3 linked regions of the Kluyveromyces lactis genome follow. The protein of the gene in region 1 binds, or shares a complex with, the protein of each later gene. Links are inferred from orthologs where the notes say so. Each region holds a gene or a part of one and is shown on either strand. Other genes may lie near its edges.

Region 1 (3,047 bases):
ATAATTTGATCATCTTCTGATTTTAACTCTAGTTTATAGACAGATCCATTCCCATTTAACAAAACGTTACCACGTCCCGACAGTTTCCCGTAGCTCCTGAGAACCGTCACCTTATTCGATATCCATCTGAAATAGTTTAACCATTTGTGGAACCATTGGATGGAGAGCGAAGAATTCCCTTCAAAAGATACTACGCTCTTTGGGTTCAATACTATCCAATCCTGTGTACCGTTTAACTGTAATACAGATAGCGTATCTGAAGACTTACGAGATGATACCAAACAGTTGAAGGTGTTGGTTCCCACAAGTTTATCAAATCTGCTTAACGAAAGAGTAGGCCAAAACGTGAACCATTTATTATAAGAAACATTAACGTTGGATAATCTATCGGAATCGTGTATCGATACGATAGAGTTGTGCCTCACATATAATGGGATCGAAGGTGAAACTTGTATCGAGGCTAATGTCGGGTTGTCCCCCAATAGTTGGAATTGTGTAGTAGTAACATTAGATCCATCCTCTCTAGTGGTTTCAGCATGGTTATCAAACAATGGTTTCAATTCTAATTGTGATCCGCTCAACACATTGGATGGAATCACTGTTGTTGGTGACGGCCTTAAAATCGAGATAGAACGCCTCCACATATTTTTTCTTTTTTCGCTACTTTTTCTCACTAAGAGAGACAAAAACAGTTATTTGCTTCAATTGATGTCTAATCCGATTAAACGATCAACAATTGGGTACCTTTTCAAACGCTCCTAATCGACAGCAATTCACGATTCTGTCTTTGTTCTCATTGGTTTGTTTGAATGTGTAATTGCTGCTCTATCTTTTGTTATAATAATATCTAATTCTTTGAAGCTGAAAATTTCAAGGTTTTGGCAGTTTCTGAAAATTGATTGGCTGAGTGATACTCCAATTAACAATCAAGAATGGAGGTTAGAATTCATGCTAACCACACATACATACACCATTACATAGCACCTGAGTCTCATCTAAGACATTGGGACAATTCGGTTGGACTGGAAATCTGTAAACGATTCAATCCTTTGCTTCTACGAGTAGTTTGACGCAAGTTTTATTGATTAAACTGATTCTATGATCGTTGATCTGACGGATGAAAAGAAAAAGAGGCCTCTCAAAAATTAAGGGTAAGTAATTGAAAATACTTTAGGAAGAGAGAATACATAATGTTACAAAGTGATTAATTATCACGAGCATTTAAAGAGTGCTTCAAGAGAAATAGATGCGGGGTAAAATAATACCGTTTTTCTTCCCCCTCCCTTAGTTTCTCTTGTCTCTTGTCTCTTGTCTCTTGTGTCCGGTGTCCTGGACCTGGATATGTCTCAGTGAAGAGGGCAAACAGATAAGCTTCCTGTTCAATCATTGGACTTCGTTTGTTCTTGATGATTGGAAGCAGCCAATTGTTTTGCAAAAAGGTACGAACTTAATGAAAAAATGCGATCATTATCGTCCAATGGCTGGGCATTTGACGAATGTGAGTGGTCAGACAATATCTGCTGCGCAGAACTGCTCTTGTTGAAACCCTGAAACCCGAGCAGAATGTTCCCCATTCTGGAAGATGGTTTCTGTGATAGATACTCTGTTTCTTTATCGTATACCTCTTGCTCTAAACTATTCCACTTGGCTTCGAGTTGTTTCTTCTGTACTAAAGCATCTCGAAGCTTCTTCTTTAGTTTCTCGTATTCTTTCTTTTGTTCGTCCATAGTTGTGTGAGATGAGTGTTAGGTTATGTTAAATCACTTTACCGATAGAGTAGAACACAATCAAAACCAGATTCAAATCCGTTCGATAGCGGATCGTCTGTTTCATCCTTTCTTGTTATTATATATGCAAATTGGATGTTGAAGTAGTGCGTTCTTTCAAACAATATTAACATTGGCGACGAGTCCGGGTAACAGTACTGGAACTCAGTTTGGAATTTGAAATTCGAAGAACCGACGAAAAAAAAGCCAACATGTAAACATCAACATAAACAGTGTTATCAACTCTAGTATCCCGTTTAAGAGCCATAATTTTCCATTGATAGCAGTTATAATCGGCAAAAACAGGTAGCTGTTGAAGAAGTTAATCCTTATCTGCTTTTGAAAATTGAAGATCTTCTCTTTGTTCTGGTGCATATAGAGTGATTACGTTATATCTATTGCAAGTTCAAGATGCCGACCATGAAGAGTGTGGTGATACAGATCTCGCAGACTAGGGTTATTTGTGGGTTCAGCAACCAAGATTTGCCGCAGTTAATTGTACCATCTCAATATTTGGCCTATAAAAGAGATGGATCGGATGTTAAAGTTTTCGGTAAATGGGAAATGATAGAGCATTGCGACGATGAGAGCGCTGAAATATACCAATTGTACGATAAGAACGGACTTCCAAATGATTGGGATATGATGGATGCTCAATGGCAGTACATCTTTCAAAGCCTAGGCATACAGTTCGAAGACTATCCAGTATGTGTTGTCTTACCTTCCGACTTAAACAGTGCGCGTCGTAAGAGATTTATGGAACAACTGTTGGGGTACGGTTTTCCAATGGTCCAACTTTTGAATGAGGCTGTCTGCAACACGTTGAGTCAGGGAAGATCGAGTGGAATTGTGGTGGACATTGGCCACAGTGGAGTGAAAGTGGACGTTGTCATTGATGGTGTTCTTTTCAAACAATACCGCAAGGAGAACAAGATCGGTGGTGCATTCTTAAACTGGCAGATCTGCGATCAATATTTGAAGCAGGATTCGGGCAAATCAACGAAAATCTGGAGGGATGCCACTGAATGGCTACCCAACTTCAAGAATAGCATGCTGCAAGTTTCTCCGATTGAATTGGATGCTAATTATGACGTGGCTCCTCATTACCAACATATGGTGTCACCAATGGACTTGACCAAAAATTTCCTACTCGATAAGAAAACTCTCACCTTCACTAACAAACAGCTATACACCATTGGAGAACTCTTGTTCAAGCCAGTGATACACGTAAGTAACAATGCAAACGGAGATGTAGAAATGGCAGATGTCAATGACATAGAG
Region 2 (3,415 bases), on another chromosome or scaffold:
GATATTATCAAAGGAGAAATGATTGGCAAAGTTGATGGTCATCGAAACAGAATAAATGCCGTCAAGACGAGCCCTGATGGAATGGCAGTAGTGTCTAGCTCATGGGATATGACCCTAAAAGTTTGGACACCGGTTCATCAGTGAAATGATGAACTGAGAATGGTAATGCATATCGAAAAAAGCCGCAAAATAGCCCTTATAATACTACTGAAACCGCTCAGTTTGGCTCTTGTTCATCGCAGTAAGTGAAACTTTAAGATGCAGCTGAGGAAGCCTCCACCAACCTGCAAATTTTATTGAGCAGCTGGTTCGGAATTTGAGACAATAATATTACAATGTCATCCTCTTGATGACGTCTCTTAGCAATTTCTTCAGATACCGGAGGAAATGTAACAATTGTATTAATTACCTTTTGAATAGTATCAACATCAGATACCGATATAAGATTAATAGCCCTTTGTAAGTTTGTAACTTGACCCAAACTTATTTCATCTTCATTGTAAATTGGTACACTGCCAGAATTTAATAACTCTTCCCGCAGTTTGGTTTGATGGTAGGGAAACCTTCCCTCATAATCAACATTGTACGCATTATTATCGAAGGATAGTTCGTGATGAAAAGTGTAAGTTGTCGAGCAAAATTTGACCTTTGCTATTATCTTTAGCTCAAACTCACCCCAACCTTGCTCATCTAGGGTGAAGGGAGGTTCCGTGAGTTTTCGTAGTGGTCGTTCAAATGTGGGATGAAGGTGATAGGTAACATAATCAAATAAGGTGGCCGGTTGCTCGTTTCCTTCTTCATCTAATATAAATAATTGCATTCTCCATTTCCTTGTCGGCAGTTCGTAGACTTTAGGAGCATCTGGTAAAATAATTTGTTGAGTTTTGACTCTTATTGTTCGAGGAACGTAAGGCTGATATGTTTGTAAACAACCACTTGTTAGTGACAATGCTGCTAGTGACAAACGTTATGGCAATATTAGATTAAAACATACCATTACAAAATCTTTTTCCATTATGTTAAGTGTTGACTTGATGCCAATACAGTTTTCTATCGACGGCTTGCGGACCGTTGTGCTACAACAATAGTAAAACATAATGGAGTATTGTGATATGCTATCATGTAGAATTTGATTCAAACTATTATTTTTTTCAGAGATAAGCTCATCGGTAGGAGGTCGACAATAATTAAAGTCAAGTCCAAGGGCGAATTCAATCAAATATTTCAGTGCAATTTTCCCTAGGCTTGATTTGTCTATTCATTATAGTGTTCATTTGGTACTTTTTCTGCAAGCAGTGCCTGTTAGTGGAGATGTAAGTTATAAAATACAACTACATAATTGTAATGGTTAAATTAGATAAACATGTGAGAGGTCCGGTTACTCGGTGTTTTTCTTGACGTATTCCCATAAACTCTTCAATAGACTTTCAGGCAAGCTATATAAATCAATAACGAACTCACCTTCTTCGATATTGTTCGTAATATTCATTTCTGGAGTTTTGTTATCAGTTATCATTTGTACTACTCCAACCAATGTATCCTCGTTTAGTTTTGTTAAGCCAAATGCTAACTTTTCCAAGTTCACAGAGCCTTTCACTGTTGAAGCGGAGGCGGTCTTGGCTTTTTTCGTTTTTACATCACCATTGACAGTAGATGCTTTTCTCTTGTCACCTGGAGTGGTGGCAGCTGTCGCTGTTGCATTTGGAGTTGCTGCTGCTGTTGATGCTACTTCATCGACAGGTCCACTTTTCTCTAGTTCTGCTCTTAGAAGAGGCTTATTGGTAGGAACTTGGATTACATGATCAATTTCATAGGCATCTTTCATGAAATGTAGGTCGTGAGTTATCTTCTTCTCGCCCCCTTTCTCAAGAAGATGCGCACTTATCAACAATTCAAAGCCACCCCAGCCTTGTTCTTCAATTCTAAAAGGAGGTTCCGTGAATGTTCTATGAGGGTTTGCAAAAGTTGGATGCAAATGATACACTACCTTATCAAATATCGTGGCTGGAATTTCGTTTCCTTGTTCATCCAAAAGAACTAATTCAATGGTCCATTGACGCATAGGAAAGTTTTCTACTGGAGGTGGTACATCCGGTAGGACAGATTGCTTGGTCTTAATTCTGACCGTTCTCTTCACAGTCTGTTTCCGAAATATTGAATAAAAGGTCTGTTAGTAAACTCATTGTGAAAAGAAACCTTCTAAAAACGAACTGAAGAAGCTTTTCAGTCTTTTTTAATCATTACATACCGACACCATCGTTGGTTGATTTGATTGGGGGTTATAAGCACGTCTAATGTTTCTCTTCTGGATATTTTCGTACTTGTAATTGCCATTATTTATCTCTGAATTTGAAATTTAGTCAATTCATGTTTTCAATGTTTGGTGAAATTTAGAGGAAGTACTACAATAAGGTGGAGGAAGGCAGTTGAAGATGCATGCAAGAGTTACGATTATGCTATTGTGGAGAGAGCAAAAGACTATCATGTCCATATTCTCCCCACTTAGTAGTTACCAGAGAGTATTGGTTACTATGTTTTATCACGTGATCTGGCAAAGCATCCTAGCGAACAACATGGCTTTATCAGAAGTCTTTAGATAGAGAATTGTTCACGTGAGTCAAATCCATTGCTGCGGCTTGATATTGCATAATTGTAAGTACATTTATTTACGGGATTGATGTGCCTACTTAATCACAAGGGCGTCATTCATCGGAGTTTTTTTTTTAATGAATGACTCTGTACAAGTTTGGTTTTAGCTAGGTGATTTATTGGAACACTTTCTTAAATTGAGAGCTAATACTGGACCTGATAGCAGCTGGAGATGCCTTCAATTCGCCTGGTAGTGTTTTCCAGTCAATTTTTCCGAAGACCTGCTTCAATTGTATAGATGGCTCTGATTCTTTTAGATCTGTTAAAATCTGCACAACACGAGCGTCTACTTCCTCCCTAGAAGCAACAGGCAAGGCAGTCTGATAATTCTCGAGGATCTTTATCTCATTGGCTTCTTTCTCTACCAAATCTTCTCTCTTATTTTTAACAAATTCAGCGATGGAGTCCTTCCTTTGCGAGATTAACTTGGCGTACACATCATACAATACAAATTCATCTAGATCCTTATCCTTACTGTCAATTTCCTTGTTCTTAATTGTAGATAGTACACCTCTAATGGTTGTCTTTCTTAGGTTGTCTTTTGCAAGCATTGCCTTCTTCAAGTCTTGTTTTAATGCAGCGATCCCATCAATGTAGCCTTGAGAACTGGCAAATCTAACAAAGGTTCTGGTCGTTGCAGTAGCGCGAACGCTTGGGATAACACATCTTAACATCTTTGTATTCGCTAATGATTTGGATGCTTGTCTTGAAGATTGAACCAAACGATCAAGATTATAGAAGGTCTATTAAATGTAACGTTTCTTTG
Region 3 (3,402 bases), on another chromosome or scaffold:
AGCTTGTTCGTTTGGATATGGACCTGGGACATAATCAGCCAATTTACCAGGTCTCTTCTTTGGGTTACCTTGGTCATCTGGTTCGTCATCGTATTCGAACTCTTCAGCCATGGCTCTGACTTCGGCGTTAGTGTGAGAAACACCAACCATGGTTCTCCATGCAACACGGTCCAAAGAATGGCATGCAGCACAAACTTCACGGTAAACTTGGTAACCACGTCTGATAGAAGAATGGTCGAAAGTTTCCAATGGACCGTTGTGAGACCAACCGTAACCTGGGGCATGCAAACCATGCTCAGCAGCTGTCATAGCGTCAGCAGTCAAGGAATCAGCATACAACATTGTTGAAGCACCAATACCGACAACAGCAGCACCACCAACAATGGCTCTTTGAACATAAGTACCTTTTACGGCCTGTTTAGCGGCAGTAGAAAATGATCTGAACATCGTTTATTATTATGATATCACTTTAGTTTCCTATTAATTGAATTCTCTTCTAAAAGATAAAAATGTCCCGAATTTTGATATTCTAACAACTATTTGTATGAATCAAAGCTGATATTCTTGAATTTATATTCGTATCACACAGACAATGGATAATATCCTGAGAATGTATTATTATTCTTTTCTTAATATCTGTACCAGAAAGACGAACAAATAGACAGTTAGGTAAAGGACAAAAATTTAAAAGACGCAGGCTTCTTTTATTCCGTTCTTTTCAAAAATAAATATTAAATCAAATCCGTTGAATTGATTGATCGATCAGCGCAAACTAAATCCCTGGTTAATACTATAACCAACTAAACGTATATATAAATAATCTATGTATATCGTTTCCAAAAAGTTTTCTCTAGTTTGAAAAGAATTATATACTATATTTTTGTAGATATTTTTCATTATATCGCTTTTTACATAGAGAAAAAATCGATTCCCAAAATTTTCAAGCCGTTTTTTTTTTTCCCTTTCGCTGTCTGTGAGCATTTCTCTGCTAAGTTTTCTGTCCAATCCAATGATAATTGTTTGTGATTGATTATGTTTAAAGTATTTTTTTTTATTTTTCGAAAGCGATGTTTTTCTGAAGGTTTTCTATCCTAAGCGCACTGGAGGATGCGTGTTAAGGGCGATATTCCCGACGAAAAGTCACTAAGTACGGGAAAATATCCATATGTGCGGAGGTTTATGAGAAGACGGCACGTTCTTCGATGTGATTGGTCAGAACTCCATATCCCAAAAACATCAATGTCATTCACGTGACTGGGACTTGTCACGTGAATGTTTTCCTTCTGGGAAAACGTAAAACGTCTTTCCATTCATATCCATATGGCAAAAGCCATTCAAGAAAGAGTAAGTACATGCTAACGCCTAGAATAGAATTGACCATTCTGGTCTTAGTTAATCGGCTAGAAGGAAACAGCTCAAGAACAATGGAAGATGTTAGGTACGGGTTTCTCAGTACACTGGACCATTTACCATGCGATGTGATTCGCACCCTCTGGACTATACAATCATTGGATATAGGTGATACTAATAGAGATGGATGTCATTCAGAAGAGATGCTGCGACAAGCGCAACATCTCTTAGAGTTAGTACGGCAAGAACATTCACGGCTCAATTTTGAAAAACAAGAATTGGAGCGATTCTCTCAGATTAAGGCAAGGTACGATAGTCACTTGAAGAAACAACCGAAATTGAAACCTTTGCCTCATCACAAACCGATCAAGATTAAGATCACTATGAAATCAAGGTACCCAGAGGCAGAAAGGGAACAGAAACTGATTCAGCAAGAACATGTGAATCATGATAAGACGCACAAGCCAGAGACAGAGACGTACTGTTTCTGTAGAGATGTGTCGTATGGACCCATGGTTGCTTGTGATAATGAATCTTGTGCCATCGAATGGTTCCATTACCCCTGTGTAGGATTATCAGCCGCACCCAAACCCAATGAGAAATGGTTTTGTAGTGACATGTGTAGGAAACAGTACTCCAATCATCGGAAAAAGAGCAAGAGAAGAAAGCGTTGATGAAGACCGCGGAGGCTCTTCAGTGCTTCTCCAGAAAAATAACTTGCAAGAAGGAAGCGCGTGTAATTATTATTTATTCAAATGCTAATATTTTCATATTTAAAGATAGTTGTCAAAACAACAGGAAATATTATGAACCAGCCGATGGGATAGTGAAAGAAAGTGTAAACACTTTCTTGAGTACTCCAAAACTAGTCTATAAAATTACAGCATGCAAAGCTTTTTACTCAATTCGACTCTATTAGAGTTGAGGAGTTTATAAGTCCTTCTTCAAAGTACCCAAGAAAGCGTGCTTTTCAGCTGGGGTTTGGAATCTACCCTTACCGAACTTAGAAGCAGTGTCGATCCACTTCAAGGTAACTTCTTCCAAGGCCTTTCTGGAGGTGTTGGTGTACAAGGACTTTCTTAAAGTAACAACTCTCTTTCTGGTACCTGGGATAGAACCCTTCAAGATAACGAAATCATTGTTGATAGCACCGTAGTGGACGAAACCACCCATTGGGGTGATGGTCTTCTTGGTTCTGTCGAATTCGGTAGCGGCGTTAGCTTCGTCGTCACCCTTACCAACTCTGTAGACCTTGTGGTTAATAGAGGTTCTGTGGTGGTAACCTCTTTGACCAGCTCTAGCAACGGACCACATAACGTGGGCTGGATGCCAAGCACCGATACAAGCAACCTTTCTCAAACCTCTGTGGGTCTTTCTTGGAAGCTTCTTGGTACCCCATCTGTGGGTAACACCTTCGAAACCGTGACCCTTGGTAACGGCAACGACATCGATCATTTCGTTTTGTTCGAAGACAGAGTCAACGGCAACGGTCTTTTCGAAGTGTTCCTTAGCCCAGTCAACCTTGTCAGAGACAGAACCACCGTTCAATTGGATTTCAGCCAAATGAGCCTTCTTTTGAGACAATGGAGTCTTTCTGACTTGGGTGTGGACCAAGACTCTAACAACAGAAGCGTACTTCTTGATTCTGGCCAATTCTCTGTCGACTTGGGCACCGTTTTCAGCGTACTTAGCAGAGTACTTGGTGAAAGCCTTCTTCTTGGACTTGTACCAGTTCTTGTAGAATCTTCTCTTGACTTCGTCGGACAAATGTTCAGCCCAGACGGTGGTCAAGGATCTCAAACCTCTTGGGGTTTCAACGTAACCAACAACACCGACAACAACGATTGGTGGGGTGTCAACAACGGTAACAGCTTCAACAACTTCACGCTTGTGGAACTTGGAACCTGGTCTGTCCAAGTCTCTAACGATAGTGGACATACCAGCCTTGTAACCCAAGAAAGAGGTCAAAGCAACTGGCTTAGTTTGGTCGTCCTTTGGGAAAGACTTAACTCTACCTCTAACAGAGGCAGCTCTCTTTCTTGGCAAGAAACC

The links.
Region 2: EAF6 (region 1) and KLLA0_D06831g share a complex: the UniProt entries of both Saccharomyces cerevisiae proteins name them as parts of the nuA3 histone acetyltransferase (HAT) complex. The link is inferred for Kluyveromyces lactis from reciprocal best matches to the Saccharomyces cerevisiae genes EAF6 and TAF14.
Region 3: EAF6 (region 1) and YNG1 share a complex: the UniProt entries of both Saccharomyces cerevisiae proteins name them as parts of the nuA3 histone acetyltransferase (HAT) complex. The link is inferred for Kluyveromyces lactis from reciprocal best matches to the Saccharomyces cerevisiae genes EAF6 and YNG1.

Annotation. Positions count from the first base shown.
Region 1 is NC_006041.1:567,756-570,802, reverse strand, and holds EAF6 (Eaf6p), read right to left. Parts: upstream 1,728-3,047; coding exon 1,380-1,727; downstream 1-1,379. Other genes in the region: AIM24 (Aim24p), read right to left, coding at 1-644; ARP7 (Arp7p), read left to right, coding at 2,178-3,047. UniProt on the Saccharomyces cerevisiae protein: Component of the NuA4 histone acetyltransferase complex which is involved in transcriptional activation of selected genes principally by acetylation of nucleosomal histone H4 and H2A. The NuA4 complex is also involved in DNA repair.
Region 2 is NC_006040.1:587,456-590,870, forward strand, and holds KLLA0_D06831g (uncharacterized protein), read right to left. Parts: upstream 2,258-3,415; coding exon 2,249-2,257; intron 2,141-2,248; coding exon 1,379-2,140; downstream 1-1,378. Other genes in the region: STE4 (G protein subunit beta), read left to right, coding at 1-144; KLLA0_D06809g (uncharacterized protein), read right to left, coding at 254-820; AIM41 (Aim41p), read right to left, coding at 2,766-3,323. UniProt on the Saccharomyces cerevisiae protein: Functions as a component of the DNA-binding general transcription factor complex TFIID, the RNA polymerase II associated general transcription factor complex TFIIF, and the chromatin-remodeling complex SWI/SNF.
Region 3 is NC_006042.1:1,523,937-1,527,338, reverse strand, and holds YNG1 (Yng1p), read left to right. Parts: upstream 1-1,352; coding exon 1,353-2,024; downstream 2,025-3,402. Other genes in the region: ubiquinol--cytochrome-c reductase catalytic subunit CYT1, read right to left, coding at 1-447; RPL3 (60S ribosomal protein uL3), read right to left, coding at 2,281-3,402. UniProt on the Saccharomyces cerevisiae protein: Histone-binding component of the NuA3a histone acetyltransferase complex. Targets the NuA3a HAT complex via histone H3K4me3 to facilitate transcription initiation at promoter regions.